2 linked regions of the Danio rerio genome follow. The protein of the gene in region 1 binds, or shares a complex with, the protein of each later gene. Links are inferred from orthologs where the notes say so. Each region holds a gene or a part of one and is shown on either strand. Other genes may lie near its edges.

Region 1 (17,163 bases):
AGCCAATCATATGAATTTAGAGCCGAAAAAAGATGTGATCCGTTCATCTCTCGAGCCCTTGGTCTGAGTCTTTTGTTCATCACGTGAAAGGCAGAAGCCAATCATATGCATTTAGAGCAAGAAAAAGATTTGATCCGTTCATCTCTCGAGTCCTTGGTTTAAGCCGTTCGTTCATCCCATGAAAAACAGAAGCAAATCATATGAAAAAGATTTGATCTGTTCATTTCTCACATCTCTCTTTACATGCCATCACATGATGAACGAATGACTCAAAAACCAGAAGACTCGAAAGGTGAATTTTATTTGGTGTAATTGTAGATGTCATTGGAAGCAACTCGTAACATTTTAATAATATTTTGGCAAATCGAACGAAATGACTCTAAAAAAGATTTGTTCACCTCGCTGCACGAGACTCAAAGGTCTGAGTTAGCAATATAATCCGAACTTCCCATCACTATTGCCTACAAAACAGTGGCTATTTCCCAACACTATTGCCTACAAAACGGTCGCTATTTGTGCAAGAAAGACAAAATGGAATTACTGACGACTCATTTCAGGAAATTCAGAATCAGGATGTTGCTGTTGTTTTTTTTGGGAGACATAAACTCCATTTATCGAGCACTTTGATCTTTGATATTTTGCAAACCTTTTACATTTACAAACAGAGATATTACATACAGGATGAAAGCACAACAGTGGCATTTTAAACGGCACATAAACACACATTCCAAGCTTTTTGGCAGCCTTTTTATTTTTTGTTTAACTTTCTTTTTATCAAACTGTTCTGGTGGAATGATTTCTTTTGTAATGTGGCAGCAAAAAATGTTTAAAAAGAAGAAAAAATAAAGCACTGCGAGTAAAATCAAGTCCTTCACGACGACCAAAAAAAAATAATAATCAGCATATGACTTATAGAACAAATATTCCACAAATCTGTACTTGTGGGCTTTTAGTATAGTTTCTTTGTCTTACTATTTTATTTATTTATTTATACTGAATTAAAGCATTCTGGCTTCCACCCAAGCCACATCTCATTTGAAATGTGTTTATATTCCATGTTTATATTCATCCATTCCGGTTTGGAGGCTCAGACTGACATGTGTGGAAAGATGAGATGCAAAAAAGCAGGAAACGCAAGCGCTTTTAAACAACGTATAAAAAATTATGCAAAAAAACAAACAAAAAAAGGCAAGCTCTGAGGTAAAACAGACTTCTGGCATAAAGGCACTGTGAAATAGAAGAAAGACTTCCTCATGTATTTCACCGGCTACTGGAAATGAAAATAGGATGAGGATATGATCTCTAAGTGCCAATTATTGCTTTTTGGTTTAGGATTTTGCAGAATCAACAGGGCCAAAAAGTCCTGTGAATAATTTTCATTATATTTGTTGTGTTTTTTATACTAATACTGATTATTATCATCATATTTTTAGCAGGAAGTACTTCATCATCAAATCAAAAATCCATAATGGGGGAGAATATGAAGACATATGAGGTCAGAGGAGGCTGAAGATCTTATGAATCAAAAAGAGGTGAGTTGTATAGAGAAGGCCAGCCTCCCCAAAATTAAGAAAACCAAGCAAAGTAAAAGATGTAGAGAGAGAGAAAGAGAGAGCGAGAAGAAAAGAACGCGCTTGCAAACGTAACTTGTGATGTTTGTCAAGTCCACCTCTTTAAGAGTAGATTTGGTCAGATTGAATGAGGATGGTCCCATGGAGGTGTTTGTACTCTTCTTCAGTCTTTTTATCGGTAGAGCTCATTGGTTATGATATCTTGCAGTTTCTCTCGAAGGTCTCTGAAGCTTGGCCGCACCACAGCATCCAGAGTCCAGCACTGCTTCATGATGTCGTACACCACTGGAGGACAGCCGTCGGGGGAGTCCATCTTATAACCCTTCTCTACACGCGGGACCACTTCCTTTAGAGGCTGGAAGAAGAGAAAGAGAGACAATGACTCAGGATAAAACAAAACAAAATGTGCTTAAGGAGACAACGGTGCCCTCTACTGGTAGGAATCTGAAATTATACTGAAGTAAAACATAACATTTGAAAAATTGATGTATTTGTTAATAACTAAAAAATTAATGAGATAAAACTAATGTAACAGAGTTCCCATGCTTTCCTGAACAACAGTTTCAAGGACCTCTGTAATTCATGCCTTAGCATATGTAGTGCCATGAAAGCCCTTAATGTACTTTTAAGTCCCTATGAAATCAAAACTAACCATATGATTTTGTTAGCTCAATTGATTGTTTTGGGATGGACAATTCATCTGTGCATGTCATTATGAGAAAAAAAAATTGTTTGCCCTTCTAATCTTTTATCGAAATCTGAAAATGCACTTGCTGTTTGTTTTATTCTCAGATTACGTATATCTTAGCAACTGGGCGTAGCTAACATATTTAACCACGCTGGTTCAACTCAGATATGAAAACAAACAGAAATGGTGAGGAGGAGGAATCTGTTAGGTTGTAATAACTCTCCCTAAATACTTTTCCACATCTTTCTAAATGAAATGCCTACTTTACTACATCCAATCAGCTCACAGTAGAAAAAAACAAGCCACGCCCACTGTTTTCTCATTTAATATTCAGTTTCTCTAGGAACTGCATCACAATATGGAGAAAAACAAACAAACAAACAAAAACGGTTGCAGCTTCCAGTTCATGTGGGCATTAACAGTTCACTTAATACTTACAAGTCATTTTCAAACACTTTTCAAACATTTTAAAAAGTCATGGTCAAAGAAATTTAATCAGATTTGTTGATTTCAATGCTGGTAATATTCAAATGCGGTTTCAGAAATATTGATCAAATGTGCATTATTTGTCAGTGTTATTGTACAAGGTTTAAATGTAAGATTCTTAGTTAAAGAATTTCTCTTTTTTTTTTTTTTTTTATAGCACAATTTACCATCCATAAACAAATTTCAATTAAAATTTAATCCAAGCACTTTTAAGGACCTGTGTATAAGCAGCTAGCTCTCTGCAACTTTCACATGGTCGCCCACTGAAGCTAAGCAGGACTGAGTACCTGGTCAGTACATGGATGGAAGACCACATGGGAAAACTAGGTTGCTGTTGGTAGTGGTGTTAGTGAGGCCAGCAGGGGGCTCTCAAACTGCGGTCTGTGTGGGTCCTAATGCCCCAGTATATTGATAGGGATTCTATACTGCTTGGTGATCGCCATCTTTTGGATGAGACATTAAACTGAGATCCCCATATCATAATTGGTTTCATCACTCTGTTTCCTCTCTGCCAGGTGGATGCTGCACATTGGTGGTGGATGAGGAGATTCCACCCCGAAAATGTGTAAAGCGTTTGGGTGTCCAGAAAAGTGCTATATAAATGTAAGCAATAATTAATTTTATAAGTATTTTACAGGCCTTGAACCCATACTGTATGTCTGAAACTCAAGAAGGGTCGGAACTCTGAATATAATAAAATTGCCAACACTTGTACCAACTGGTGGACTATTACCTGCCTATTGTTTAAATACTGGCTGTTTATATGTAAAGTACATATTCTGCATGATCTTATTCGACATCAAGAATTCTAGCTATCACCTAAATCCAAATACTCTATCAAACAGCAAATTAGAAGTTTATTGAGGCAAACATCATAGTTATTAGTTTGTTAATAGCAAGAATAATTTATGAGCTAAATATATTATGACTAGGGCTGCACAATATATCGTCTCAGCATTGATACTGCAATGTGCACATCCGCAATAGTCACATTGCAGGATATGCAACGTAAAGTTATGATTATAGCTGACCAGGAGAAACAGTTTAGAACACATGAGCATTGTGAAGTTATTGCAGAGTTTAACCATAATGGAGTGAAATTTTAGAATTTGCACATTTTTAAGTGCTGAAAGATTTCAAAGTATTCAGGCACATATAGTTTTCTTTAATAAATAATACTTTTTAAATTTTTTATACAGTAAAGACTTGCAGTGTTATTTTACATTTGATTATTCAAATTCTGTTCTTGGATACGATGCAAATGCCCTGAAAACCATAAAACACTTATCACACTTCTGCCTTTGCTCTTTTGTATTCATCAATGCTTGTATTTCACATTTTATTACATTTTTATGCGTAAAAAACTTCCCTACAAAATATTCCCAATTAAATTGAATAAATTCTTTCCAAATAGCAATTTTCAAGTCCTCTGGTGAAATTGTAGATACAGTATATCACAATATTTTTTGCACAAAAAGTGAATATCGCAATGTCTGATTTTTCAATATCGTAAAGCCCTAAAAATGACACATTTAATAATCTTTTGTTTAAAGACTGAAAAATTAATTTAAAAAAACGTATTATTATACAAACTATTTTATTTATTTTATGATTTTTAATAAAAGTATAATAATAATAATAACTATAAATTAACTATTAATTAATACATCCTATTTAGAGATTAGTAAAACTATTCAATCACCAGTATCAGCTACAAGTGAACATTCAGGAAAATGTGTTTCGGATTTGAAGGGACTTACAATTCTTGGATATGGTACCCGACCAAAAGAATAGATCTCCCACAGTAAGATCCCATAACTCCATACATCCGACTTAGTGGAAAATTTCTGTTTCAGAAAGACGTGCAGATTAATAAAAGGATATTTTCAACTAGATTCCACCATTAAAACAAACCATTTACAAAGCACACCTTCTCTCGTAAGGCCTCAGGTGAAGTCCACTTAACAGGGAGTTTGGCTGTATCTTGAGTAGACGAGGCTTCCTTGGTGAGGCCGAAATCACTGACTTTAGCTATGTTGTCCTCTGACACAAGAACATTACGAGCGGCAAGGTCCCGGTGCACAAAGTTATTGGCCTCAAGATATTCCATTGCCTTGCACACATCCCTAGGAGAAAATGTAAATAGATAGATAGATAGATAGATAGATAGATAGATAGATAGATAGATAGATAGATAGATAGATAGATAGATAGATAGATAGATAGATAGATAGATAGATAGATAAAGTAAAAAAGAAATAAATTAATAAATTAATTAATTAATAAAAAATATGGTTATTATAGAATATAGTTTTTATAATAACTTTTATAATTTTATAAAAAAAATATATTATATTTTATTATGCTTCAAAGTCTGAAGTTATGCTATTTTGTCATGGCTTAAAAATAATAATAAAGAAACTCACATTGAGAAATTGATCAAACGATCTCCACCGATAACAGTACGACCTCTGGAGCGCAGATAGTCCACAAGACTACCCTGAAAAAGGCATACCAACAACACTTAAGTACACTCTACACTTTTTATATGGCTATTAAACATGCCTCTGGCTATTCTCGATGGTAACAGATGGAAGTCGCTGACCTTGGCCATGTACTCAGTGACGATGTAAAGGCTGCCCTTTTCTTCCACGATCACCCCCAGCAGCTGCACCAGGTTATTATGCCGTAATTGACTGTAAAAGTGCAGCGCATGAATATGAATATTTTGCAATGACTCTAAATATAACTAGGATTCTAATTGGTCAGTTAGATGAACGCACGTCATGACTGAAGCCTCTGCAACGAAGGCCTGTGCTGTGGCATCATGTTTGATACACTTCACCGCTACTTTCTTTCCTCTGTAGTCTCCAACCATCACATCTAAGAACAAATAAACAAAGAGAATAATTAAGTCTGAATGAATTAATGACTCCTTGTGTAGTTCATATTATTATTATAATATTCTGTATGCATTGAATTTTTTTTAAGATAATTGGATCCTGGGCCAAATTTAAGGCCAATCATTCCAGTAGTGGTCACTTGGCATGCTTTGTAGAGCATTTTTTCTATCACATTATAGAAAACATCATTAATTAGGTCAAATCTGAAAATCTTATTGTAACATTTCTAATTTTTGTACATTTGGTGATATAGTCTTTAAAACATTTATTTTATTAGCAATCTAAACATTTGGTTAGCCATTTAAAATTATATTTAAAAAAAAAAAAACTGATGAATATTTTGCTGATAGCCTGTAAAAAAGCCAAAACCAAAAATGGTTGCAACTCTAAATGCCTCAAATTAGTGACTGGTTTGACATAATTTATGAAAACTACAATATGGAGAGGTAATGAATCATTGTTTACAGACTGAGGAGTTTAATGAGACATGGAGAAAATCAGTAGAATGTATTCACCCATTAAGACCAGACTTAACATAGGATGTATAATCAGAAAGATGTGCATTTTTATTATGTTTATTTTGTGTATAATTTTCTTGTAATGAGAGAAAACAAAAGAAAGATAGTGAGAAGAACAATACCTAATGAAAAAATAAAAATAAATAAAAATGTACATTTAATATGCTAAAAATACCATCCTCACAGTTTCATACGTATATAGCTTAGGGGGAAGAGGGGTAGACTGGGTGCCTCAATGTGTGTTAAGAAAAGTACACAATTGAATTGCAATTGAAAAGCAACAAAACTTAAACTGTTTTCTTTTTGACGACATACAAAACAATTATGAGAGTATTGTTTTGATTGTCCTCATGATGTCCTTGAATTATTAATGTACAGGACATTCTGTAACTATTAATGTACAGTACATTCCGTAATTATTAAAAATGTTTATGGTATTTTATAATTTCTTTCAACTTCTGGATTCCGATGATTGATTGTTTTGTGTATATAATGTGGAAACTCCTATTTACCACAGGTGTCAATTCCAGTTTCTGGAGGGCCGGAGCTCTGCACAGTTTAGTTTCAACCCTAACTGAACACACCTGATCAAACTAATTAAGTTCCTTAGGCTTGTTTGAGACCTACAGGTAAGTGTGTTAAAGCAGGGTTGGAACTAAACTGTGTAGAGCTACAGCCCTCCAGGAACTGGAATTGACACCTGTGCGTATATACCATACATATGTATGTAAATTTGGAAACTGCAATAAAAAAATACAAAATGAAAACAAAAAACAAAAGAACGCTTATATTAATATGCAAAATATACACAATATTTTCTTTAGAATATAAGTGATAAAAAGTGACATTCATTTGACAATAATGCATCAAATGTGAGAGATAGCAACATTAGGGTTAGTGATATGATTCATTTTTGGTTAGCAATAGTATATATGGTATGTAAAATAAAAATATTTAGTACAGTGCATTTCTTATGTTAAAAATTGTATACAGTGCTCAGCATATATAAGTACAGCCCTAACAGATCTCTCTTCTAAATGGATTTTTTCTACAGGATGCTTTACAATAATATATTTGTGCATATACATTAGATTAGTTAGTTCCAAAGTCAAAACTACAGCTAATTTAACAAAATAACTTGAGATCATGGTCCAAAAATGTGTACACCCAAATTAAAAAGTTGGAGGGAAATATTAAATACAACTTTAATAAACAGGGGGGAAAAACTCAAGAGAAACATAAAAAAATATATAATTTAGTTGCAATTTTGTAGTTTGCAAATTTATTTTTGCAATTACTCGCATGAATTTAAATGTACTGTATTATTATCATCTTGCAATTGTTAAAGACTTTTATTAAAGATTAATGTTTGGTGACCAAACTATTATTTTAATGGATAAAACTGTTTAACAAAAATGTTATGTTTAAATGAACCAAAGATTATTGGATACATTCACTGAGAAATTAATAAATAAAAATTAATTTTCAAAAGGTGGTATACCGATTTATGCACAACAGTATATGTATATAGTAAAAAAAAAATAATAATAATTTTCTCAAAGCAAACACACGTACCTCCAAACTCTCCCTTTCCAATAGTCTGGATAAGCTTCAGTTCTTTTCTATTCAAAGCCCAGCCACCTGCGGGGAAAGAAAATTGGGTACTAATTTAGCCATGCAGGAATTAAATCCTCTGTTGCTCTTCAGTATTAATAATGTAACTTAATAATAAACAAGATTGAAAATCAGATCAGTAAAACTATTTAAAGAATATACAGGTTTACATTTTTTATATTCAGCATTAACTACAACATAAACCCAAAAAATAGATAATATTTTGAATTTATAGAGAAATAAATGGCACAATTTAGAGGTGGATATTCTTTAGTAGCATGAAACTTTTTTTAAATAAACTATATTTAATTTTTAAAATGTTAAATGGAATGTTCAGATAAAAATTCCCGTCATTTACTCGCACTCAAGTGGTTCCAAATTTTTATGAGGTCTTGCTTCTGAGAACACAAAGCTAAATATTCTGAAGAATGTTGGGATGTTATAAAGCATGTCATTGAAATCCATAGTAGAAACCAAAATATACTATTGAATATAATATATAGGGGTGTAACATGAAGGGGCGTAAATTGTAGAACCTCAGAGGCATAACTTGAAATTTTAGAGAGCCATATTTCAAAACTAACTAACCCAACCATCATAGTTAATAATGTCTACACCTTACTCAACCCTTAACCTAACTATTAAAGTTATTAACATCTACACCTTCCCCAACCCTAAAGCCAACCATCACAGTCTTACAGCGGTAAGTAGGGAAGGTTTTTTATACTTTACAAGCTCCCCATTGTACAGTTATTTGCAACCATAGGTGGCAAACTGTCATGATATTACAGAGGAAGAAGGCAGCGAGTTGCGTGGTGGAGTTCCCCAACGTTTTTCAGTACATCACCATTTAAAACGCAGGTTTGAAACAAGTCGAATAAATTATGACAGATTTTTCACTTTGGATGAACTATCCCTCTAAGAAGTCAAGTTTCTTTGATGATAACCAGTACAATTACCTTTCTGGAACAAGGAGCACCAGAAGGTTAAACCTGTACAAACATGTAAACAAATGTGTGAATACACTCAAGGGAGGTCTTACTTCTGGAGAACTCATCCTGGGCTGCCACAGTCCCCTCCATGATTTTAGGTTTGATGAGTCGCGTACAGAGTCCATCTGCATCTTTAGTGTAGTGCTGTTGAAAAACAAACACACACAAGCCGACCAAAAGTAAGCTCATTTACCAAAAAAAAAAAAAAAAACTAGCATGACAGTAATGGAAATTAAAAGAAAACCATCAAATGTTTATGAAAGGGTATTAACATGCTAGAATAAACTTAAACAAATGACCAATTTACTGAATAATGCAACTCGATATGCAAATAAATGCAGGTTTTATGTAACTAGAGAAGGAAAACACACCTTGAATGTGCAGTTTGAATGAATAAAATGAATAAATAAGATAGTCTCCAGCAGAGGTCGCTGTTGTTTACATATAAACCACCGAATCCTGCGTTTCGCCTCCTCACAATAGACAAGTCCACACAGGCGAGGACATTCTTATCATTTCAGTGATGAAAAACGTGTTTTTGATTTCATGTCTGGACGCTAGAAGCGTGAGGTCAGACGATGTGATAATATTGTAGGACGATTGTAATGCATCGATTATGCTGTTGAAATGATCTGGAACCTGTGCCCGTTTCCTCTTTGTCACTTCCTCGTTATCAACTGTTCCAGGAACTGGAGTGCGTGTGTCTGTGTGCGAGTGCGCCGATATTACATGCGCGCTCAAAATAACAACACATTTGCATGAGTACAGTCACACAAACACTTCAGTAATTCTGCAACGCACTGATACTTTCAAATACAAAAGGTTCTCACTGTAACACCATCTTTTTCAGCCATTTACTTTCATACATGAGAAATAGCACAGATTTGATGTTAATAATTTTGTTATGTGATTCATTCCTGAGATGGTAAAGCTGAAATTATTCCATTTCATCACATAATCTTTCATTTATAAAGATATGCTGATCTAATGCTTAAGAAGCATTTCTTATTAGTAATATCACATTCAACTAAAATAAAAATTACCCTAAAAGCAAAATAAAACTAATGTCATAACATGCTATTATATGAAATTGACAGCTAAAATATAAAAACAAATCTATTGTATACAGGGTCCACTGGTCTGATCGGGCCAGTGGTTCAGATTTCTACTTGCCCTGCCAAAATTTTCACTTGCCCCACCAACAAAAGAAAGGGAAGTTAATAACTATTTTTTTAGATACATATTTTAAATAATGTGTCAAAAATAAAGTCTGTGAATCTAGAATTTTAAGACTTTAAAAAAATTGTAAATAAAAGTGTTTTGCAAACAGAAAAGAAAAGTATGGAAAATGTGGAGGTATTTTATTGCGGTTTGAAATTATTTAACAAAGGGTGGCTGACTTGTCAAACTGACGGCAAAAAACAAACAAACAAACAAAAAAACATCTGTAATATACAGTGCTCTGCTTAATTGAGTAAATCCCATTTTTTTAAAAATTAATATTTTTATCTATTTCTCAGTGAATATAGGCAATGTGTGTTTGTGATTCAGATTTATTAAACAGATATATTTATTAAAATAATAATAAATTATTTTTGATTTGAGGGCGAATTGCCCTCAAATCAAAATCTCGATTAAATGAACATTTCAACTTGATTACGATTAATAAACGATTATTTTATTTTTTTGACCTCACGATTCACTAACAGGTTTTGTACAGTAAATATGCTCACATATCACAAGTGAGAGATTTTTACAATACAATTTTTACTTAATTTAAAAATAATTGAAGGAAACACACACTATCTACGATTATTTATTAAACATCTTTGAACAACTAAAATGAAAACACACATTGCCTGAAATCGACAGTCCCTTTATTCTTAAAAAAATGGGAAAACAAATAACTTTTGAAAACAAAACTAATTATGTTCAACGTTTTCAAAAGTAGAAAATATAATTTTCAATGTAAATAATTTTATTGTAATAGAAAATATGCCATCTCAAAGCATATCTGGCACAGCTTCCATTCATCGTCAATGTAATGCAAATGTGCAATGTGTAGTTTTTTTTTCGCGACCACGCAAAGGCTGCGCCGGAACATAACCATGCGTTTGATGCAGGTGTATAAAACAGCTTTAACAGAGCGGCTCATGTGACTTCACACATGGAAGGGAATGTAATTGAAAAAAATTGACCTGCAAAAATTAGATTGATTACAGGTTCTGAATGTCGATTTTGATTAATCATCCTGAATAAAATACTTTTATAACATCATATACATCTTTACAGTCACTACCAATAATTTTAGTTCATTCTTGCAGAGTAAAAGTATTTCTTTTATCATTTATTTTAGAAAAAAAAAATAATAAATGTGCAATGATAAACACTAATCAAATGACAGCTGAAAATATCAATTTGGGGATTTTATTTAATTTATCTCGAGCAGTTTTCCAATGAATTTTATCAAGCGGAATGTGGGAAGAATATCTTCTGTGGCAATGTAATCACTCTGAACATAAAGACTTATTGTAGCCCTGTCCACTTCTCAGGAAAGAGCACAACTGTTCAGTTGAGTATATAAGGGTGGGAGAAAGAGAGAGCGACTGTAGCCAAAATTACACTGAAGAATGTGTGGAATTCCGTAATAGAAAGGGTGAGGAGAGACTTGAGGAACCCATAGTGCCTCTAAAGTGACCACTAAAACTGTCCAGACCCCAATCTAGGAGAACTAGAGCACATCCGTTATCAACACTTAACCGAGAACGCATCACTGGTTAATCACACTGAGCGGCCCTTATAAAGCCAATAGACAGCTGAATAAAAATAAAAAGATATGTAAAACTATACAAAGTACAGCCATTTACATCTCGCATCTATGTAAATCAGCCCATTTTAAGCCTGCCTTTTGATTAGCGGTGCTCACTGTGCTTTGTGTTACAGCCTTGAATGTTTGTGAAGTGCTATAAGTATCACTTTTTTAAGGCTTTTTAAGGTGATCATGTAATAGCCATAATAGATTCCTTTAATTTAAATGAAAAGAAGGACTCAAGCCACTTTCCAACACTCTGATCTTAACAGCAGCTTTGTAAACAAGAATAAACAGCTTCTACTTTTGCTGAGAGGGTGTGTTATTTAAAGACAAGCATGCATCATTTAAATGTATTTTAAGAAAAGGGAAATCTCAATATTATGAAATACAGCGGTGTTTTATAAAGCAGAACTTTATGGTGTAAAGAAACTCAAATATGCTGATCTCCTTGTAAAGGTCCTGTTCCTAAAATATAAATATAGGGTGCTTTCACACCTGCCTTATTTAGTTGGATTGAATCGCACTAGAGTTTGTTTCCTCTTTTGGTACAGTTTGTTTGGGCAGGTGAGAATGCAGCAATTGTACTCGAGTGCGCACCAAAAGCGGACCAAATAAGCGTACCGAGACCTGCTTGAAGAGGTGGTCTCGGTAACGGACCCTGGAGCGGTTCGTTTGTGGTGAGAATATGATCCGTACTAAAACAGGTCCAACCGCAAAAAGTACTGCACGTTTTGGACTAATTCAGCTGCTGTAGGCCGATGCGCTGTGCATTATGGGTTATGGAGGAAAAATATTTGTTGACAGCGCTTTACCAACAGAGAGAGGGGAAAACATTACCTAATGGATCGTTGGTAATATTTCCGCAAGATGAGCATGTCGCAGTTTAGCTAAATTAATTCACGGCTCCTCCTGAAGTGACGAGTGATGCATTAAACATTGTTTTCCAGCCACGGCCGCGCTTCATTTTCGTAATGTAGTTTGTCTAAAGCAGAGATACAATCTGCCAGCGCAGTCGTCCCTCCAGAGTAAAAGGTTTTGTTTACCTGCGGGAGTTCACTGGCATTTTCCCGCATGTGAATTCTGACCAATCAATAAGCAGTTTAGGAAGTATGTTTAACAACATCTGGCCAATAAGAGATGTGGATTTTGTCAGGTGACTGCATTGTCGTTCGTTTCAACTGGTTCGGACCAAAGCCAGCAGTGTGGTGTGAAAACGACCCAAAGACGGCAGAAAATGCAACAATGTATCATTTATTGCCCTTGGTCCGGACCAAATGAAGCGAACTACAGATGTGAAAGCACCCATAGCTATATATACCTTTTCAGTTACAAAAACCCAGTGTTACTATGAAAAAAGCTAAACAAAAATGAACAAATAATTGCCAAAAATTTTCTAAAAAATGAAGGCATGCTCCAATTGATTGGACTGAGATTGAATTAACCGATATTCGCATTTTATGAATTGATCAGTATTTTATCACTTCAATCTCACAAAAGTATTGCAGATTGTTTACAAGTTTAAAAGCAGAGAAATACGCACAAGAATTACAGTGGTGTGAAAAAGCATTTGTTTTTTTAACTGACTTTTTTTTTTGCAGGTTTGTCACACTTTATAATTTCAGATCATCTTGAATTAAAATTAGTCAAAGATTATACGTAAACACATCATGCAGTTTTGAAATACATTTTTTATTATTAAGGGAAAACTAAATCCCAAACTAAATAACCCTTTGTGAAAGTGTTTGCTGAAGGACAATGATCCAAAGCCCACAAGTAAGTCCAAAACAAAATGAAGACTTTGGAGTGGCCTAGTCAAAGTCCTGACCTGAAACAATTTTGAGCTTTTGTTAGCTCATTCCATCTTCTGGGTTGACCCTATGTTGATGACTGGGTGAGATCTCGTCCACGGACCCACAGCACGCAGTATTTAGCCGTTTATGAAGGGTTGTAAGGGTTTGTTTCCATGATCCACGGGGTTAGTTGCATTTTTTCCCCACAATCCTGTCAGGGCCGATACAGCAAAGCTGTTTGTGTGCAGCAAGCATTTTTTTGGGGAGAGCTGTACAAGAATTGGGGAATGGCAGACTGGGTCCTTTACCAGTGGAGTTTGTTCACATTTAGACACATTGCCGTGCAGCTGTGTTTGCCTAAATCCTACAGATTACCATAAGGGCTAATGGTTGAAACCGAAAGTGGGGTGTGTCATGGCCCTTTAAAAACACTTGATTTTAGTTATTATTTACTAAACCTTTTTCCACAAATGCCTATTTTACATTTAATTTTCCCTTAGTAATAAAAACCTTTATTTCAAAACTGAATGTGTTTACTTGTGTTATCTCTGACTAATATTGAAATTAGTTTAATAATCTGAAACAATAAAAGGTGACAAACATGCAAAAAATGTCCTTCCACTGTGTACATCAGCAGTGTGACAGCACTTGAGGAAGTATATGAAGCATGGAGGACGTCAATGATTCGAGACACTAGACAGGAGAGATCCTTGTGCTTGCATACTTGCACAGCTGTCTACATATGTGGTGAGCAATGGCCTCTTTGTTGCATCCATTGCAGATCTACTGTATTTAGCTGCTTTGACAAGCAACACACAATGTCTAGTGTCTCACACAGTCATCCCACCTCCCTGACTCATGCAAATTAGAGACAATATCCTGGAAATCATGGACCAAGAAAAAGAACGAGAAAGAGGAAAGATAGAGAGAGGCACGTTTATGTACTATACTAGCAGTAAACATTTATGTCCTGTGTCATCCGTAACAGGCTTCCATCCATCTTTCCCTCACAGATCTCACACACTGTCAGTGGAGCTGCGGTAAGGCTTTCTGGGACTATGAGCATATAATATGTCAGGAATTTTCCAAACTATTTAATTCCATCACTCTTTCATTTAGATAAAGATGCGTGTATCAATAGTTGGACATGAACAAACCATTTGAAAGGACTTGCATTTATTTAGGCCTATTTACATATAACTCCTGAAAGTTTTGTGCAGTTACATAATAGGTTCATAAAAAATTGGCTGAAAATGATAGAAATTTTTCAAAAATTGAGGTTGGATGATAAATCGATTTTATTGATTAACTCTTAGATTAAACTGATTTGTTTCAATGAACATCTGTTTTCATTCTAAAGGCTGATTTATACTTTTGCCTGGCACCAGGTCACGGACCTCCACTGACTGCGCGCTCATCTCACGTAACAACACTAGGCTTATGTACTTGACACGTTTGACATTGTGATATTCTTTAAAATGACAGGGGGCAGACGAAAGAAACAGAGCATAAAATCAGACAAATAAACAGAAATAGGAAGTTTACGGAACTACGTCATATCATTAATATTGTTTATTATTTTTATAAATTATTGAAATGAATATAAAGATTTTTATAACCATTCAAGATTTTTAAAATTAAACTTTGATGCATCATTTGCTTTTGTTCATATCTCGGACAATTCTACCTATTAAAGTTAAATATCAATGACAAGAGAGCATTGCTTGCTCCACAAATATAGTTTTATTATGCCAAGAATAAAAGCCAAAAAAAAAGCACACTTATTATTCTTTTTTAGTAAGTTTATTATTATTTTTTTTAAATAGATTTAGCCCATTCCACAATTCACACATTACCATCTGACTTTGTGTCCTCATATGCTAAAAAGGCAATAATGGTCCAACTTGCCGGATCATTATCACCAATAAAGCCTAGAAAAACAGTGCATCAATATATTGTAACCGTTATTCTTTTCCAGTTATCAAATTTATAATGTTCCTCATTTTAGTTTTGGAACTATTAAATTGTTTTAAATCCAGAAGTGTAATATATACATCAGTGTTAAACCTATGAATGGTGGAAAAACATTCTTTAATTGTTTATTAAAACCACATGGGTCTCCACTTTTGCCATGGCCTCTCTTTTTGGTTTTAACAAACTTATCCCTCAAGTTTTCAAACATTTTAAGAAAAACTTTCTTTCCCACTGCTGTTGCAATTTCTAGCCAAGAATTATTGGTCATCTGGTTATCCCTATGATCACACATAGACAAATAATAAAGATTTCTGTACAGTCATATCCATTTCAGGCAAAATCTCTTCAAAGTGAGTCATATTCAGCTCAAATCAAATATGGCGCCAATCGAACTGTTCGCTGGAGTCTCAAAAAAGTCTGTGCGCTCCACCAGTCGAAATGAGGTCGCACGCACCCAAAGCAAACTTCTGCAAACTCTGCGATGATGTCACATCTGCCATGCGCACTTAATCGTACTAGCGAATGCGTAGAGTATAAATCAGGTTTAGCACATGCAATGCTCCGCTCTGTGCTTCCATAGTTCCCAATCATTTGCCATAGTAACAACATGGCAGCGAGTTTGGAAGAACTCAGAGAAACACTGAGCTCTATGAAGTAAAAAAAAAACAACAACAAAAACATGGTCACATAAGCACACCCTCCAACACTTGCTCAGTGCAGCAGTTTAACAGATGCAGTGGCCCAATGTAAATAAAATGTAACCCACTAGCTTTGCACGAGTAGTTCATATGAACTGAGCTAGGGGAAAATAAAAATGAATAATCCTCTGAATGTAGGTTCATGTTGAAATAAACAGTAATAATATATAATAAATAATAATAAAAAATATCTTAAAAGCCCCCTTTTCTACTTTATTGTAATTTTATAAAATACTTTAATTATTATAATAATTTTTTTTTTTTTATTGCAACCTGGTGTATGCACACAGACTTTTAATTTCAGTCAGCCAGCCCCAGGGCTTCTGGTGAATTGTCATCCCATCAACAATTTTATGCACTCGCACAAATGCTCCAAAATATATTTTGAGGTCGCATAGATTTCAGGCTCATATGCAACCAAAATGGAATCAATGATAACCTTTCTTGTTATGAAAATACTCCAAAACAGTTTAGTATTTCATCTGCTACCAATACTTTACCATTGCTTCTGTTCTGCAAAATTAGCATGTTATATCAGGTTAATAACAGAATGCTCCTAGACACATTTTGAGGTCGCATAGATTAAATTTCAGGTGCATATGCGATCAAAACGGTATCAATGGCAATCATAATTGTTATGAAAATGCAACAAAACAGTGTAGTATTTCATCTGCTACCATCACTTTACCATTGCTTCTGTTCTGTGAAATTAGAATGCTATATAAGGTTTATAACAGAATAGACCTTCGTTCCTAAACAACACCCGCAAAACATTTAGCTTCATTTCACAGCTCTTGTTTAGCAGTGTCATTTCCTTCAACAGGCCTGGACTGAACCTTTGACCCCAAAGCACAAGGTGTGCGTGCATAAAATAGTTTCCTGGAGTCTATCGTAAATGCTTGCTCCATCCCTGTGGCCAGTGCGTCTGATGTGGACTGACTTCCTGTTTGGGCTATTTTTGGCTCAGTGTGTGGCGGCGATCGGTTTGAAAATGTTGACGGAGGCGGTAAGAGATTCACAGGAAGAAGCTTGATGGTTTTACAACCCGCCGGGCTAACTCTGGAGTATGCTTGTGCTGAATGAATATATAAATACACAAACACGGATATATATATGG
Region 2 (17,163 bases), on another chromosome or scaffold:
CAAGCAGACATCAGGTACGGCCAAAAATGTTAAATGACGAGTAATATCAGTGTAAAGCACTAAAACTAACAGCATCCTCACAGAGTTTACTGATAATAATAATACCTTACATTTATATAGCGCTTTTCTAGACACTCAAAGCGCTTTACACATTTTTGGAGAAAATCTCCTTAACCACCACCAGTATGCAGCATCCACCTGGATGATGCAACGACAGCCATATTGCACCAGACCGCAGACCACACACCAGCTGATTAGTGTAGAGAAGATTGATGAAGCCAATTATGATATGAGGATGGTTAGCCATGATGGACAGAGGCCAGTGCAGTGGGTAAATTTGGCCAGGATGGATAGTCTTTTTCGAAGGACATCCTCAGATTTTAACCTTGGGTCACATCAATATATTGGGGCGTTAGGACCCACACAGACAGCAAGTTGAGCTCTCCTTGCTGGCCTCCCTAACTTTTGGCAACAACCTAGCTTTCCCATGTGGTCTCCCATCCAGTTACTCACCAGGCGCAGCCATGCATAGCTTCAGTGGGGCCATGTGACCATGTTACGAAGAGCTAGCTGCCAGTATGAAATGTATTATGCTAAAAGTAACTGTATTGCCCAAAAAGGTGGCAACTGTTACCTACAGTACAACTACTTACAATCAAATTAGACTTGAGAAGAGTAAAACACCACTTCTATATTTTACCTTTCTCCCTTAAAATGTTTATTTTTTTATTTTATAAAAAAACTGCTTTTGTTCTTGCTGAAATAAATCAAATAAGACTTTCCCCAGAAGTAAAAATATTATCAGACATACTGTGAACATTTCTGTGCTCTGTTAAACATTATTTGCGAAATATTTAAATAAAAAAAAATCAAAGGGGGGCTAATAATTCTGACTTCAACTGTACATTAAAAAAATAACAACATATAAATAAAAAGCCATCATCCTTTCCATTTTTTCCCATTGGATTACGATACCTGGTGTTTGGATTAACCACACATTAATTTTCTGCCAACCTTTATGGCACTCTGAAACATTAAAAATCAGATTTGAGATTTGAGGTTAATAAAAAATTAAACAAATTAACAAATGACTATAAAACAATTATAGGGTTGTTTTTAGAGGGGGTTTCCCCCTTTTATTAGGATAGAACAGTGGAGGTTACAGACAGGAAAATATTGGGAGCAGAGATTCTATATGTCAGCGCACTTAACCACAAGGCTATTGGTGCTGACAAGACTTGTATTTTTTGAGGTGTCAGTATGCTTATGTTTATATAGGCCTATTGTTGTGTGTGCAAAATCTGTATATTTATAACCTTCTTCAAGAAAAATGGGGACCGCAAGTTATTCATTCATTCATTTTCTTTTTGGCTTAGTCTCCTTATTAATCTGGGTTCGCCAACGCGGAATGAACCGCCAACTTTTCCAGCATATGTTTTATGCAGCGGAAACGCTTCCAGCTGCAACCCATCACTGGGTTACATACACTCTCATTCACACACATACACTACTGAGAATTTAGCTTACCCAATTCACCTGTACCACATGTCTTTGGACTTGTGGGGGGAATCGAAGCACCAGAGGAAACCCACGGGGACACAGGGAGAACATGCAAACTCCACACAGGAACGCCAGCTGACCAATCTGAGGCTTAAACAAGTGACCTTCTTGCTATGATGCAAATGTGCTACAACTGTGCCACCCTGCTCCCGGCTGCGAGTTACTGACATTTTTATTTTGGGGTCGCATGGTAAAAAGTTTGAGAAGCCCTGGTTTAAGGAAAATGTTACTGTTGAATGTTTTAACTATCAATTGCAGTAATAACAGTACTAAAAGCAACATAATTCAAAAGGGAACATATTTTTGCAGTATCACAGTTATTTTAAATGTATTTTTTTTAGGGGTTTTCACCTTTATTGTGATAGATTTAGAGACAGGACAGTATGGGGACCAGAGATTGGGGAATTGTCGGCAAAGGACCTTGAGCTGGGAATTGAACTCAGGTCACCATGAACACCTCGGTACCATGTGTCGACGCACTAACCACAAGGCTATTGGGACCGACAGTATCACAGGTTTAATTCTACAATTTATATTGCATTTACTGACAACATTTCAGATGTAATCCTCTAATCTTGTGCATTATAAAGCTTCAAAGCTATAGTTCACCCCAAAATAAATATTTGCTGTTAATTTACTAACCATTATGTTGGTGGAGCTTGTTTCATCAGTATAACATTAAAGCAGATTTTATTTTTAGCTGAAACCTGATTGTTGCTAATTTATTAAATGCAAGTATAAATGTAAAACTCTTTAAGATTAAAAAAAAAACTAGGTATTGAAGCAAAATAATAGTCTCTAAGAAACTGAACATGAATAAAATCATTATTATCTAAGCATATGTTCCCAGCAGTCTAAAATATTGTTACATTACAATACAGTTTTAATTGTAGAATTTGTAGAGACTGCAGTTTTATAAAGTATTGAGGGACATTTTTACCTTTATGTCCAGTTAAACACAAACAAGTGCAGGTATATGCTGTGTGTGCCTTCAGTTTGAGTTCTGAATCGATTGTAGCATTGATCATTTTAAAGAGCCGCTCCTCCCGCATGGCCTCTCAATGTATAATATAATTACTGTGCGCTTGTGGGCATGAATCGCTTATAACAAACTGTCTATAAGAATAACCCCTTAAGGCATGGCATCTTTTAAGAAACAATTTATACCTATGAAGGGTAAAAAATCTATTAAATGCACCTGTTTGCCAGCGCTCACTTATGGAATACTTGCATTCAAAATGCACAATGCTCTGACCACAGATTCAATCAATAGTATGCTGTACAGTGAAATATGTTCTTTAAATCCCTTAATACCAGCACGCTGACATGATAATAAACCTGTCTTATGGCAGATTGTTTTTCTACACTTGAGAATTAAGTTTAGTAGGATGTATCGACAGATTAAATATCAACATTATATACTGCCTATTGGTGTATTACTTTGAATTCAGTGCGAGGCCATGTAAATATAGAATTCATTCATTCATTTTCCTTCAGCTTAATCCCTTATTTATCAGGGGTCGCTACCAGTGGAATGAAATACCAACTATTCTGGCATTTGTTTTAGCGGATGCCTTTCCAGCTACAACCCAGTACTGGGAAACACCCACACACTTTCACATTCACACTCATACAATATGAAAAATTTTGTTTACCCAGCTCACTTTCACTCACCGGCCACTTTATTGGGTTCACCTTACACGTACCAGGTTTAATCCCCTTTTGCCTTCAGAACTGCCTTAATCCCTCATGGCATAGATTCAACAAGGTACTGGAAATATTCCTTAGAGATTTTGGTCCATATTGACATGATAGCATCACGCAGATGCTGCAGATTTGTCAGCTGGACATGCATGTTGCCAATCTCCCGTTCCACCACATTCCAAAGGTGCTCTATTGGATTGAGCTTTGGTGACTGTGGAGGCCATTTGAGTACAGTGAACTCATTGTCATGTTCAAGAAACCAGTCTGAGATGATTCGCGCTTTATGACGGCCCCTTATCTTGCTGGAAGTAGCCATCAGAAGATGAGTACACTGTGGTCATAAAGGAATGGACATGGTCAGCAACAATACTCAGGTAGGCTGTGGCGTTGACACGCTCAACTGGTACTAATGGACCCAAAGTGTGCCAAGAAAATAATCATTACACCACCACCAGCAGCCTAAACCATTGATACAAAGCAAGACGGATCCAAACTTTCAGGTTGTTGATGCCAAATTCTGATCCTACCATCCGAATGTCGCAGCAGAAATCGAGAGTCATCAGACCAGGCAACGTTTTTACAATCTTTATTGTTCAATTTTGGTGAGCCTGTGTGAGAATTGTAGCTTCAGTGGCACCCGGTGTGGTCTTCTGCTGCTGTAGCCCATCTGCCTCAAGGTTCAATGTGTTGTGCATTCAAAGATGCTCAAGATGCTCACCAGTCTATTCTCCTCTGGCATCAACCACAGAACTGCTGCTCACTGGATATATATATATATATATATATATATATATATATATATATATATATATATATATATATATATATATATATATATATATATATATATATATATATATATATATTTATTTATTTATTTATTTATTCATTTTATTATTATTTTTTTTTTACTAACCATTCGCTGTAAACCCTAAAGATGGTTGCGTGTGAAAACTCCAGTAGATCAGCAGTTTCTAAAATACTCAGACCAGCTTGTCTGGCACCAACAAGCATGCCATTTTCAAAGTTTCTTCCCCATTTTGATGCTCGGTTTGAACTTCAGCAGAGCGTCTTGACCATGTCTACATGCCTAAATGCATTGAGTGGCTACCATGTGATTGGCTAATTAGAAATTTGCGTTAACAAACAGTTGGACAGCTGTACCTAATAAAGTGGCCAGTTAGTGTACATCACATCATTGGAATGTGAGGGAAACCCACGTGAACATGAGGAGAACATCCAAACTCCACACAGAAATGCCAACTGGCCCAGCCAGGACTCAAACCATTGACCTTCTTGCTGTAAGGCGACAGTACTAACCACTGAGCCACCGTGCCACCTACATATAGAACTGTTTACAACAATTTACAGTGATGTGTAAATGATAAATGCAGACAAACATATACACAGACAATGTATTTTGAGTCCAGCATGACTATATATTGTTTAATAAAGCAAATACCACATTACAAAGATTACGATGAAATAATGAACAAATGCAAAATTCATATTTACAACTAAATACACCAGAATTTGGTTAAAGAGAGAAACAAGACAGTTTTTTTTTAACCATGATATTAAATAAAATAAGGATCTTCAGCAATATGAACCCTGTACCAACACGACGTACCATTACAAGCAAACACTTATTTAAACCCTCACATTATAAACACTGCTTAAGAAATCCGAAGCAATACAGATCATTGGCTTTTTAAACTGTAATAAACCTCCATAAAACGTTCTGTAATTACAAAATGCATCTGGAAAATGTATGTATTCCAATTACTGTCAAAGTTTCTTTAGTATTAACCCACTCTAAAAGTTCCTCGTGCTGTCATTTGATAGCGCTTGGCAATTATTACAGAAGCATACTGAAACAGTGACATAATTTAACAGATCAAAATAGGATAGTTTGGATATTTACAAGTGTCTCTTGGCATGAAATTCATCCCAGGCGGCGTCTGGACGCGCTATGCTTTTTGATTATACCGCTACATTAATGTAAAGGCAGCTAATTGCATACCTGATAATGGTCACACTTTACAATAAGGTTTCATTAGTTTATGTATTCAGCAGCATGAACTAATAATGAACTATACTTGTATAGCATTTATTAATATTAGTTTAACATTTACTAATGCAAGATTAACATCCACATTTATGCTTGTTAACATCAGTTAATGCAGTGAGAGTTAACATGAACAATGAACAACTGAACTAACATGTCTGTAACAATTATACTTTTCATTCTTTGTTCATGTTAGTAAATGCACTAACTAATACAACCTTATTGTAAAGTGTTACCCTGATAATAAAGTACATTTGCTAAGCTGCCAGGCAAAGCTGCAGTTCAGCAGTACCTTGTTGTCTCTTTCCCCCTGTGCTTTTCAGCCATTTGAAATGTTGCGTACCTTATTACATGTAGAAACCAAGATATATCTCAAATATATAACGTATCTGATACACTCATCAATACAGCTGCATTAATAATAATAATAAAATACATACATATTGAAGCAACACAGCTTAATAAAACCACAACTAAAATGATTCGAACTCACACCAGCAATAGATAATGGCCAACGTTTCGTTAATACCCTTTTGGCACACTCATAAACAAGTGCACTCAACTTTGCGTACCTAAAAGGTCACTTCCTCTCCTGAGCCTGTGATTTGACACACTGTTTATAAAACGTGTGTAACAGCTCAGCGTGACGGCTACATGTTCCTCTTGTGGGTCTTGATATGTGTTACGCACTTGTGAAACTAAATGCTCCAGCAGTTCTGATTCGAATGGATGCGGTTCCTTAATGGCCTGAACTGAGAGGTCTGCTGTTGCTGATTTCTGATTGGTTCGCTTTTCGGGGTTATACAAGGATGCAACTCTGTAAGTTGCTCAACTAGAATCACGTGAAAAGGGGAAGCTCACAGCAGGTGCAGCATGCAAGTGCGTGGAAACCACTAGTACGTGTTATGAATAAAATATTCCTCATAAGAGCACCACCATTGTTGGCGCTTTGTTTTGAAAGGTGGTGAGGGCATGTGGGAAATGGGGTTACACAGATGCAGATGTGCTGGTTATTATGTCACCAAATAGCCAAGACTAAGCTTATGAATATTAATTAGGATATGCAAAAATTAGATATGTGAATTAGTATCAATAGTATCTGGAATAAGATTACTAATAATACTAAATTAATTTCAGGTTGTGTAAGTTCTTGCTTATTATCTCTAATAATTAATGTTAATTTTGTATCTTTGGTCTAGCAGCACATTTCCTTTGTTTATAAGAAGGATATAAGAATGTTTTAAACTATATTAACATCTCTACATCATTTGATAGAGCAGATCTGTTTGCATTTCCTTATTATTTTTCACATGAATGAGAATGTGCCGTTTGAATGGATGTATATGCTGTAGAGAGAAATCATTTAAAGTCTTTGTTGCTTTCAGGGACATTAACAACACACAAACTCTAGTTGAGATGCTGCTTCTGTGTTTGCTAAATCCTTACTGCAGGCTATTTCATAAAGCAGGGATGAAACAATGGCTCTAGCAAGAAAGTGATGTAGAAATGTCCATCCTAAGTGATGCCAACTTATATAAAAGGGACATCTTGGATTTTTCGTACCCAAATATTCACAAAAATACGTAGCATAAAGAAGAGTGCTTCTTTTCCTGTGTTGGATGAAGCCTTTCAATAGATAATGTTCAGAAACAATGGGGTGCATAAATGCTGTAGGAAAGATTAAGTGCATTATACTCATGATGCCACACACATTTCAATTCTTAAGTTGTCTCAGTGTTCGCAGTCCTTAAGTGGGTAGTCAGAGACGAGAGATGTCCCCGTTCAGACCCAGTTCCCCCACACTCTCGTAGTCAGGCTCCACTATCCCATTGCCAAGATGAGCCTCTTCAGACGCTTTGGAGATCTTGATGGTCTCGTACCCGGGTTCTGCATTCTCTGTAAGCCCCTCTGAAGGCTGTGAGCCAGAAACCATTGAGTATTCATCTCCAACCGTGGCGTAAAGATCACTGGAAGTCGACTCCGGCATAATTCCCTTGATCTCTCCAATGCTGCTGTAGTCGTTCTCTGCTTCCTTTACAGGATTCTTCGCAACCGTGGAGTACAAGTCTGATAACTGGAAAGGGAAATGTAACAGAGAATTGGACATCTTTACAATGCAGACTTGATGTAGTGCACTACCTATATACAAATAATTATTTGTGGTAAAAAAAAAATAAATAAAATGGAAGTAGGGCTGGGTGATATTGGCAAAATTTTTTAGAGTAACATTGTTATATGTGGATTTTAGATAAAATCGGTATTTGTTTACATCCTGCTCAATGTTATTCAATAAAACATTCATGTTCAAATTAAGTAATATAAATGTTCATATTAAAGGACACACTGTAAAGGACACACTGTAAAATGGTTTCGCACAATCGATTTGTGTTTGGATAACATGAAGGAATTAAGTTAGCATTGCAGTTTTTACACATTTCAGTAGATTAAACATAAAACAATTAAATTGTCACCTTCAAAAAATCCAACATTGTGTTGTTTCAGCTTATTTAATAAAATAGTTATAACAAACAACAAACGTCTTTTTTTTGAGTGTATGAAAACAGGAAATTTCTGGCATGAAACTCTATACGTGCGCATGCTAAACAGGTCAACAAATCTCATAAACTCATCTCATAAAATCTCAGAAAAACAGCACAGCACAGCACAGACATGAAGGAAGCAGATCTCACGTAACGTTTGTGAGAAATACTACAGTAAGAACTTTCCTAATGATTATTTGATGTATTTGTTGTGGAGTTAATTCAAGCCTTTCTGCAACGATGACACTTTCACACACAATGTTGTTACAAAGTTCACGCATACACACACAGACACACGCACGCGCACACACACACACACACACACACACACACACACACACACACGCACACACACACACAAGGCAAGTGCATTTAACTATGCACTGTTTTTGCATGGAAAATGCGACAAGATACACATTAATATCCACTGCTGTATGGATTTTTGTTATGTTAACGTACAAAATAAATCTGATTTAAAGTCCACAAACCAGGACTGAAGCATCTTCTTTTATAATTGAACTGACATGCTTCTGTGGTGATAAAGTAAAGCTGAAGTAAATGGCTATAATTCATTGCAAACATACACCGTTTTAAAAACAATTATAAACTTCTAATTCTTGATCAGATTTAATGATTGATGATCACAGAGAGCTGAACAGATCTTTTACTCCCTGTTGCTTTGCGCACATCCTGTCTTGTTGATATGATTATACACGTTATTATGGAGACATGTTATTTTGCGGCTGTCAATCAATTTGGTGGAAGGGAAACCACACCTACATCACGTTGCAGTCAGCCTCAAAATGGGAGGGATTTGGATCCTATTTTAAGATCCGAAAATTTAAAAATGAGACTTATTGTGTTTATATCACCCTAATATGACAGCGGACACACTATACCTACACAGTTCTGTCCAAACAACGTACAAAAGATGATTTTCATCATAGGTGCCCTGTAAGGCAATTCATTTCCAAAATGTACAAATGCAGAGTACATGCAGAGCAACTGCATGTGAAATGTATGCCACACACTGAGGAAAACACCACATCTCAAACATGAAATACAGCTGATCTGATCAAAGCATTTTTAAGGGAAATCCACATGAAACTATGCATGATAATGATATCTTAGTTATTCCCATAATATAAAGCATGACTCATGTAAGACAAATTGGGTTATGCACATTCCCTACAGGAGCTCTCTCTGTGTCTTCATACCAACTATTGTATATCAATATAATGGTATTATCTCATACTATATTGTCTATTTTACAGGAATGATACATATTGCATGTTGTAAAAACCACCCATCCCTAAAACACCAAGTTGGGGATGAGCCTACCTCACTGTCTGGAGACACCTTGTCCTGAAGCTCTGGAGTCAGCAGCGGGGAGTGTAACTGTGGGACAATGATTGAAACAAAGTCATTAGTCATTAGTCAAAAACACTTTCAATCAGAACACTTAAACGCAGAGGAAATAGCCCGCTTCAGCTGACACATGCTAGTGTCGAAGGCTGATTGATGCAAAAATGAAGCCACTCATTCATTACTTAAGTGTTACTGATTGAAATCAAATGTACAGGTTCTCTCTTAGCACGAGCAATTGTATATTTACAATAGCAATCGATACTTGAGTCATCAATTAACAAAGTAAATCCTACAGCAGATCAATAACGGACACCTTGACTGTAAGAGAGGAATATCAATCTTCTTCAGTCACCTCACTGACATAGAGAATACAGTCAAGCGGGAAATTTGCTGTAATCCCTTCAAGATTAATCTTAAAATGTTTTAGCGCCGTTTCAAGCCTGTTTTAATGAAGCGGCCTCATCCTGTGAGTTTGAAGTATTTTGCATTGATATGATTACGCAGAACCTGCATCAGGGGCTCAACCGACGTGCTTTGATATTGGTTTAATTAGCAAGGCAATTAATTTAATAGCCCGTCCGCAAAGACACTGATGACCTCATCACAAATAACAAATGTTTCCTGCAATAAGGCTTATCTGCTAATTCACTCTCGCCTTTGTCTCTGTCCGGCCCTCTATATTAATTAAAGCACCTCTTGCATTGATTTGGCCATATAAGAATTAAATGATCAACATAAGCATTTAAACTCACTGCAACATCATCACTCAGGCAGTTACAAAGATTAGGGGTCTTGTGTGTGATGGCATCATTATATATAAATATATACATTTTTTTTTTTTTTTGAACTTTATTTTTATACATTAAAACGTTTTACAGAACAGAACATTCAGTGACAGCAGCGGTCATTAACAAAAAATAATAATAATAATAAATAAATAAAAAAATAAAAATAAAAAAAGACAGTAGCCGCAGATGTAAATAAAAAATTACAAAAAAAAAAAACATACAATATTTTCAGTTTCAAAGGAGCTAGAAATACTATGTCCTATTCAGGTACAACATAACAGGTGCCCATCTTTGTTTAAAAATATCCAGTTTTAGTTGAAGTTGAGCAGTCATATACTCCATTCTATATATACAATCAAGTTTTTCTATCCACTGTGCTATTGTTGGAGGGTGTGGCTTCATCCAATTTATTGTTATGGTCTTTCTTGCACTTAGTAAAAGTATATGTAGTATATATCTCTGGTTTTTATTATATATATCCTGGGGTATCCCTTCAAGCAAGAAAAACAGGGGAGTAAAAGGTAGATCTACCTGCATAATTTTCATTATCTCAATCTTTACCCCTTGCCAAAATGCAAGTATCTTCGGACATTCCCAGAATATATGTGCATGATTACCCACATTTCCGCAACCCCTCCAGCATTCCTCTGACTGTGGACGATTAGTATATTTGGAGACCATCAATGGTGTTCTAAAAAACCTAATTTTTGTTTTCCAGTCAAACTCTTTCCAGTTATGGCTGTTGATCCCCTTATGAGCTTCTGAACATATGTTTTCCCAAATATCATCCTCAATTTTTTCATTAAGTTCAGATTCCCATTTTTCTTTAATTTGAAGGGTGTTATCTGTTGAATCCAGAATTAGGCTATTATATATCTGTGATATGTGTCTTTTATGCAATCCTTTTTGTTTTTTTATATCAATAAAATACTGTTCCACATTAGTTGGGACTTTTTTGAATATTTCCTTTTCTTTATGATTTGTAATATAGCTTCTTAATTGTAAGTATCGAAAGAAATCACTTGACGACAACATAAATTTGTCTTTAAGATAAGAGAATGAGTGCATAGTGTTTTCATTAAATAACTGATCAATTATCATAAGTCCCTTATCGCACCATGTTTTAAAAGTGGCATCCCATTTGGATGGTAAGAAATCAGGGTTATCTGCTATAGACATAACTCTTGATACGGTTGCCATTCCTCTTAGTTTTTTCTTAACTGTTGTCCAAATTCTCTGAGTCTGTTTAACACACTCATTTTTTATTTGAATCTTTTTTTGAGATTGTTGTGTCATAAAGGCTAATGCTGAAAGAGGTACATTTGGTACAGAACCCTGAATATATACATTTTTATAAGCTGTACATGGCCAATCAGCAGTTGGTAGCTTCTTTGCATTACTATTGATTACCTTCAATTACTATTGCATTACTATTTGCATTACTATTAACCTTTGCATTACTATTGATTACCAGTTATTGCAGTTCTCTAACAAACAGCTTTGAGAATTGTACTTCAGACCATATGCAGTTTTTTTTTTTTGTAGACAAACCTAAAATATACTTGTTTGAATGCTATTTGAGTACAATGAATACAATTTATGGGATAGTGTTGTGTCAGATCAAACCAAAAGTTGGGAAGGATATGTTTGGTAATAGTTTTTTTTTTTTTACTTTTATGCATTTTTCGTGTACATATTTTTTACTTTGAAGGCATATATGTTCTCTGTGAGGAGTTAGAGATGATCTAAAAGCATTGCTGTTGGATAATAGGTATTCCGACTTCAACTTTTTCAACACTGATTGAAAGGTGTGATTAAGCCCCCAAACGTACTCTCACCAAAATACTCAATGACAGTTTATGACCACTGTATTGTTTCCTGCCTAAGGCCCCATTGTCATCCTGCCTTCTTTGACGAAACAAGACATTTGCTATACTAAGAAATAAAACTAAACATCATGAACTCTCCTTTATTCCTTTTGCTCTAAAACTGTTGTGTAGATAACTTATTTACAGTGTTTGATGTTTTTTAATTATTGTTACTTTGTTTGTTTATCATGATTTAAATTAGTATATTTATTAGTCAATTATTGATTCGAATGCGTGTTTGACAAATTTTAGGGAATTGTGCTGCAATACCCTGTACTTGACAATTTTTTTTTTAAATGTTATACACTCACACACCCGCCCTAGATCCTGTTTGATTGGAAACACTCACAGCTGAAGCCGCTCATGAACTGATTACACGCACTATAAAGTCAGCACACAAACACACAGGGGTTGGCAAGTCTTGTAAACATTACGATGCGTTTATCTTGCCTTGCCTTGCCTTGCTTTGCCTTGTTAGATCCTTACCTTGTTGGTTTGTTTGTTTAAGTTGTCTGCTGTCTGCTTTTTGACCAACTGCCTGTTTTGATGACTACGACTTGATTTCCTACATACATCTGTTTGCTCCTGATTGTGACCGTTGCTTGCCTGATCATCTCTGTATAATGTTTGGATTATTACTCTGTTGTCAGCGTCCAGTTCACATTACATAATGTCAAGATATTTAAGAGTATGTTTAATAAAATTTTTCAAATTTTATTCGTTTTATTGGACTCCGAGTAAGCTTTTTAGGCTTTGGTTGAAGGACTCTGCTGAATGCTGGAGATGTGAGAGTAGAAAAGGTAACTTAATGCATACCCTGTGGTCCTGTTCTAAAATACAGGAATTCTGGATTAAAGTGCACACTTACATTCAGAATGTTTGTGGATGCTGCTTATCGTTTTGTCCTAAAATATTCATGTACTGGGAGACCCGTTCGTGTTGGGGTCTGGTGTGAAGATTTAAATAAGTATTATGATTGCAAGACAAATCATTATGAGGGGATGGCGTTCAGCAGGTCCACCATCATTTCAAGAATGGGTGACCAAATTGGGGAAGGTGGCAGCATATGAAAAATGACATATGGATTACTTGATAAATTGGATGTTTATCAGAGAAGATTGGGAAATTATTTGACAGTTTGGAAGGATGAATAAGGTCACTGTGGTGAGACACATGGTAAAAGTGTAATTATCTCATTTGATTTATTTATGTATGTATTATTATTATTATTGCATTGTTGTTTTATTAATTAATTAATTATTTTTTTTACGATTATTATTTTATTTATGTGTGCTTCTTTATTTATTGAGTTTTATTATTTATCTGGGCGACGCAGTGGAGCAATAGGTAGTGCTGTCGCCTCACAGCAAAAAGGTCGCAGGGTCGCAGGTTCGAGCCTTGGCTGGGTCAGTTGGCGTTTCTGTTTGGAGTTTGCATGTTCTCCCTGCGTTCGCGTGGGTTTCCTCCGGGTGCTCCGGTTTCCCCCACAGTCCAAAGACATGCAGTACAGGTGAATTGGGCAGGCTAAATTGTCTGTAGTGTATGAGAGTGTGTGTGAATGAGTGTGTTATCTGTTTCCCAGAAATGGGTTGAGGCTGGAAGGGCATCCACAGCGTAGAAACGTGCTAAATAAGTTGGCGGTTCATTCCGCTGTGGCGCCCCGGATTATTAAAGGGACTAAGCCGAAAAGAAAATTAATGTTGTTTATCTGTATTTACTGGATTTATGATAGCAACATCTAATTACTGTAACTGCCGCTGTTGGGGAGGGGGAAGTGGATGTTAAAAGGATGTAAAGATGTATAAACTGATTGTATGATTAAATAATTGAAGAAAATAAAAATCTAAATCATAAAAATTTAATTTAATTTACAAAATTTTAACTTGTGGCGATAACCTGCGATTTCCCAATTGATATTGTTTGCGGTGTCCTTCACACTGAGCACATACATTCCCTTGAACACCCCAATGGCCGAATACCCAACCAAGTTCAAATTAGAACATACCCTGCATACAGTATGGCAAATGCGTGAGGCAAAGGGCTATAGTTCAACGCTCATGTTTTCATTCCCACGCATCCTTTGACAAGGCATCAGTGCTAACAATAAAAGTCCTCCCCTTAAGCAGGAGATTTCTGAGTGTTGATGTGCTGAAATCACAGTTTATCACAGACAGCTGCCCTCAGTCCATCATGCAAGCATAGTGACAGTGGCACCAATGCATAATGACACACATGGCGCTCCGCTCAAGCCAGACTTGCTTGCTTCGCTAAAATAACTAAACATACAGTCCACACCATGAGCTAATGAGGCAGTGTGTACAATCTGTGTGCAAGTGTTTCAGCATGCACATGTCAGTATTGGTATCCCAGCTTTAACTGACGAACTGTCTTGCTCAAACACAGACCGATGCACCTGTAAACACATGCTCATGATGTCTCATTCATCATGAGGGTGAGCTGTCAGACAGTGGACAGCTGGAACGCACTGATCCCCATCCCCATGTTACACACAAACATGTGACCGATAAGACAAATCACTGCTGCCCCATTACACATCTACATCAAGCTAGCGAATAGGATTTACAGTGATAGGTGTATCACAGCATAGTACGTGAAGGGTACAAACAGGTTTTCCAAGTGATCAACAGGGTGATAGAGTAAACAGGACAGTTTACTCCGAAGGGTGCAGGTACATGATCCACCATCTGACTTTTTTAGTACTGATTCACTACAGCCTCTTCCAAGTGTGCCAGTGTTGGCACCAGATCCAGTGGCCAGTCTGGAATCATTATACACATTTCCACTCCAATAACGTTGCAGAAAAAAAACTGCCTCAAATGGCACACTATACACTTATGCACTATGTACTTATGCACTTACACACTCAACAGCATAATATATTTGCTGCTAGCTCTCTGCAACTCACATGGTTGCCCACTGAAGCTGATCAGTACCTGGATGGGAGACAACATAGGAGACCTAGGTTGCTGCCTAAAGTAGTGTTAGTGAGGCCAACAAGGCCCTCACTAATCATCTGCATGTCTAGCAGGTATATAAGGTTTCCATACCATACAGTTGACCAGCTCACCATTGAAGCGCAATTTGCAGTGGTCGCCGGTATCAATGTAATCGGAGCAATCTACTGCACACAGATTGCTATAAAGTCGCCATCTGAAGAAGAATTTGCAAACGTGAATCAGAAACATTTCCATTAAATAAATGTGCAAATAAAATAAGATGCACAGACTTATTAATGATTCCTACTTGTCTTCCTTGTGATGAAGAGTAGGTAAAATCTGATATGTAGCAAGAGAAAAAAAGAAGATTGAGTTCATCAGACACTGGATTCGAACCGAGTTCATACTCGAACTTGTAAAAATATGCTGCCATGTGTTTTACGAGCTACGCCACTCATGCTGTTGAAGACGCTACAAAATTTTACACTTTTACATAACACTATTTCTTTTTTTAATCCACATCAGCTAAACTCTCCCACTCTATTTTTTTCTTTTGTTATTAATTCCGGAGGACAATATGCAAACAACACTGTTTTTCTCCAGTCTACCTCCGTAAGCAGCACCTCCAATTCATATTCTTTTCAAAGTTTCTCTTCTTGCTCGCTTTTGCTATTGCTTTTTTTGTTTGGTTTTGCCAAAGTAGAGTCATATTTATTCAGGGGAGGAGGCAGGGAGGGGTTTTGCGCTCGTGCATGTTGCGCTCAGTTAAGTTCATTCGTATGTAAAGCAGCATAGTATATTTGCTTCTAGCTCTCTGCAACTCACATGGTTGCCCACTTAAGCTGAGCAGCTCTGTGCCTGATTAGTACCTGGATGGGAGACGACATAGGAAAGCTAGGTTGCTGCTGGAAGTAGTGTTAGTAAGGCCAACAAGGGGCGCTCAAACTGCGGTCTGTATGCGTCTTAACGCCCCAGTATAGTGAAGGGGACTCTATACTGCTCAGTGAGCGCTGTCTTTCGGATAAGATGTTAAACCAAGGATTCTCTGTGGTCCTTAAAAATCCTTGGATGTTCCACGAAAAAGAGTACGGGTTTAACTCTGGCATCCAGGCCAAATTATATACTGGCCTCTGTCCATCATGGCCTCCCCATATCATATTTGGCTTCATCGTCTCCTCTCCACCAATCAGCTGGTGTGTGGCGTGTGGTCTGGTGCAATATGGCTTCTGTCGCATCATCCAGATGGATGCTGCACACTGGTGGTGGATGAGGAGATTTCTCCCAATGTGTAAAGTGCTTTGAGTGTCCAGAAATGTAAGGAATTATTATTATTATTATTATTATTATTTTATGAATGTAGTGTCTTCCCAAATGAAACACTAACTTTTTTTTTTTACTAAGCAAAAATTCAAACGTCATCTGGGAAACAGTTTGGTTGCCAAATTAGTGAAATAATTGACCAAACTACCAATTAACACCTGCCATGAGTATAACCACATTCACCATCGAGAGGCGATATAATTGCTTTACACAAACCAAAATAAATAAAGTAATCCAACATCAGTGCCCAAAAGCTCCACCCCTTCCGCTATGTGAGCAAAGCTGTGGCTATTGAGTGCATGAAGTGTCCATCATTCCACACATATTTTTAACAGTTGAACAAGTGCACCATTCGGGTATTTAACGTGCACTTATTCTGAGTTTTTAATGTGAATGCACTAGTTACACGATTTAAAATGGCATAGAATAGTGCATAAGTATGCGATTTGGGATGCACCTAAAGTCTACTGATTGTGTAAACATGAATTTCCTTGACAATTCTTAGAAAAGGACTTTTGATGTTAAAGGTGCAGTAGGTGATCTGCCTAAATGCTAACCGCTTAGCATAACATCTTTCAAACACAATCCCTCCCCTGTCGTCCAAAGCCATGCCTCCTGAAATTGAGAGCGCGCAAATTAAAATTGACAGAGATCATGTCATTCGCCAGTTAGAAAACTTTATAGTACTTTTAATACTAAAATTCTGAACAAAAAACTGTATTGTATCAGGCACATTTTAGTTGTGTAGTTAGCAAGCAAAACTTGTCATCACTCTCTAACGCACTTTGTCCTAAAGCGGGAGCAGGAATTACACTTATTACTAAGCCATCCTTACATGCTATTTCAGACCGAATATTCAGAGCATGGTAAACAATATAGGGAGCGCATCACAGGTGTCATTGTTCAAAAATGAACCATTGTGAATATATGAGACTTCACCTCAATAAAGCAGGCTAGGCGAAATACGCCATTTACTGATGTTTTGTTGTT

What was found.
Region 2: the proteins of csk (region 1) and pag1 are in contact, whole or in part, in an NMR structure (PDB 2RSY), measured with the Rattus norvegicus proteins. The link is inferred for Danio rerio from reciprocal best matches to the Homo sapiens genes CSK and PAG1. Residues at the interface, in NP_001025210.1 of Rattus norvegicus: Thr88, Arg89, Glu93, Arg107, Ser109, Thr110, Asn111, Tyr112, Thr117, Cys122, Glu123, Lys125, Val126, Glu127, His128, Tyr129, Arg130, Ile140, Asp141, Tyr156, Asp161, Gly162; in NP_071589.1 of Rattus norvegicus: Phe291, Ser292, Leu294, Tyr296, Lys297, Ser298, Arg299, Glu300, Glu301, Leu305, Ile310, Met313, Tyr314, Ser315, Ser316, Val317, Asn318, Lys319.

The regions. Positions count from the first base shown.
Region 1 is NC_133200.1:21,860,599-21,877,761, forward strand, and holds the end of csk (tyrosine-protein kinase CSK), read right to left. Parts: intron 8,917-17,163; coding exon 8,823-8,916; intron 7,808-8,822; coding exon 7,742-7,807; intron 5,629-7,741; coding exon 5,529-5,628; intron 5,442-5,528; coding exon 5,351-5,441; intron 5,246-5,350; coding exon 5,172-5,245; intron 4,872-5,171; coding exon 4,676-4,871; intron 4,593-4,675; coding exon 4,506-4,592; intron 1,927-4,505; coding exon 1,744-1,926; 3' UTR 726-1,743; downstream 1-725. UniProt on the Homo sapiens protein: Non-receptor tyrosine-protein kinase that plays an important role in the regulation of cell growth, differentiation, migration and immune response.
Region 2 is NC_133194.1:34,497,307-34,514,469, forward strand, and holds the end of pag1 (phosphoprotein associated with glycosphingolipid-enriched microdomains 1), read right to left. Parts: intron 9,271-17,163; coding exon 9,214-9,270; intron 7,407-9,213; coding exon 7,092-7,406; 3' UTR 4,683-7,091; downstream 1-4,682. UniProt on the Homo sapiens protein: Negatively regulates TCR (T-cell antigen receptor)-mediated signaling in T-cells and FCER1 (high affinity immunoglobulin epsilon receptor)-mediated signaling in mast cells.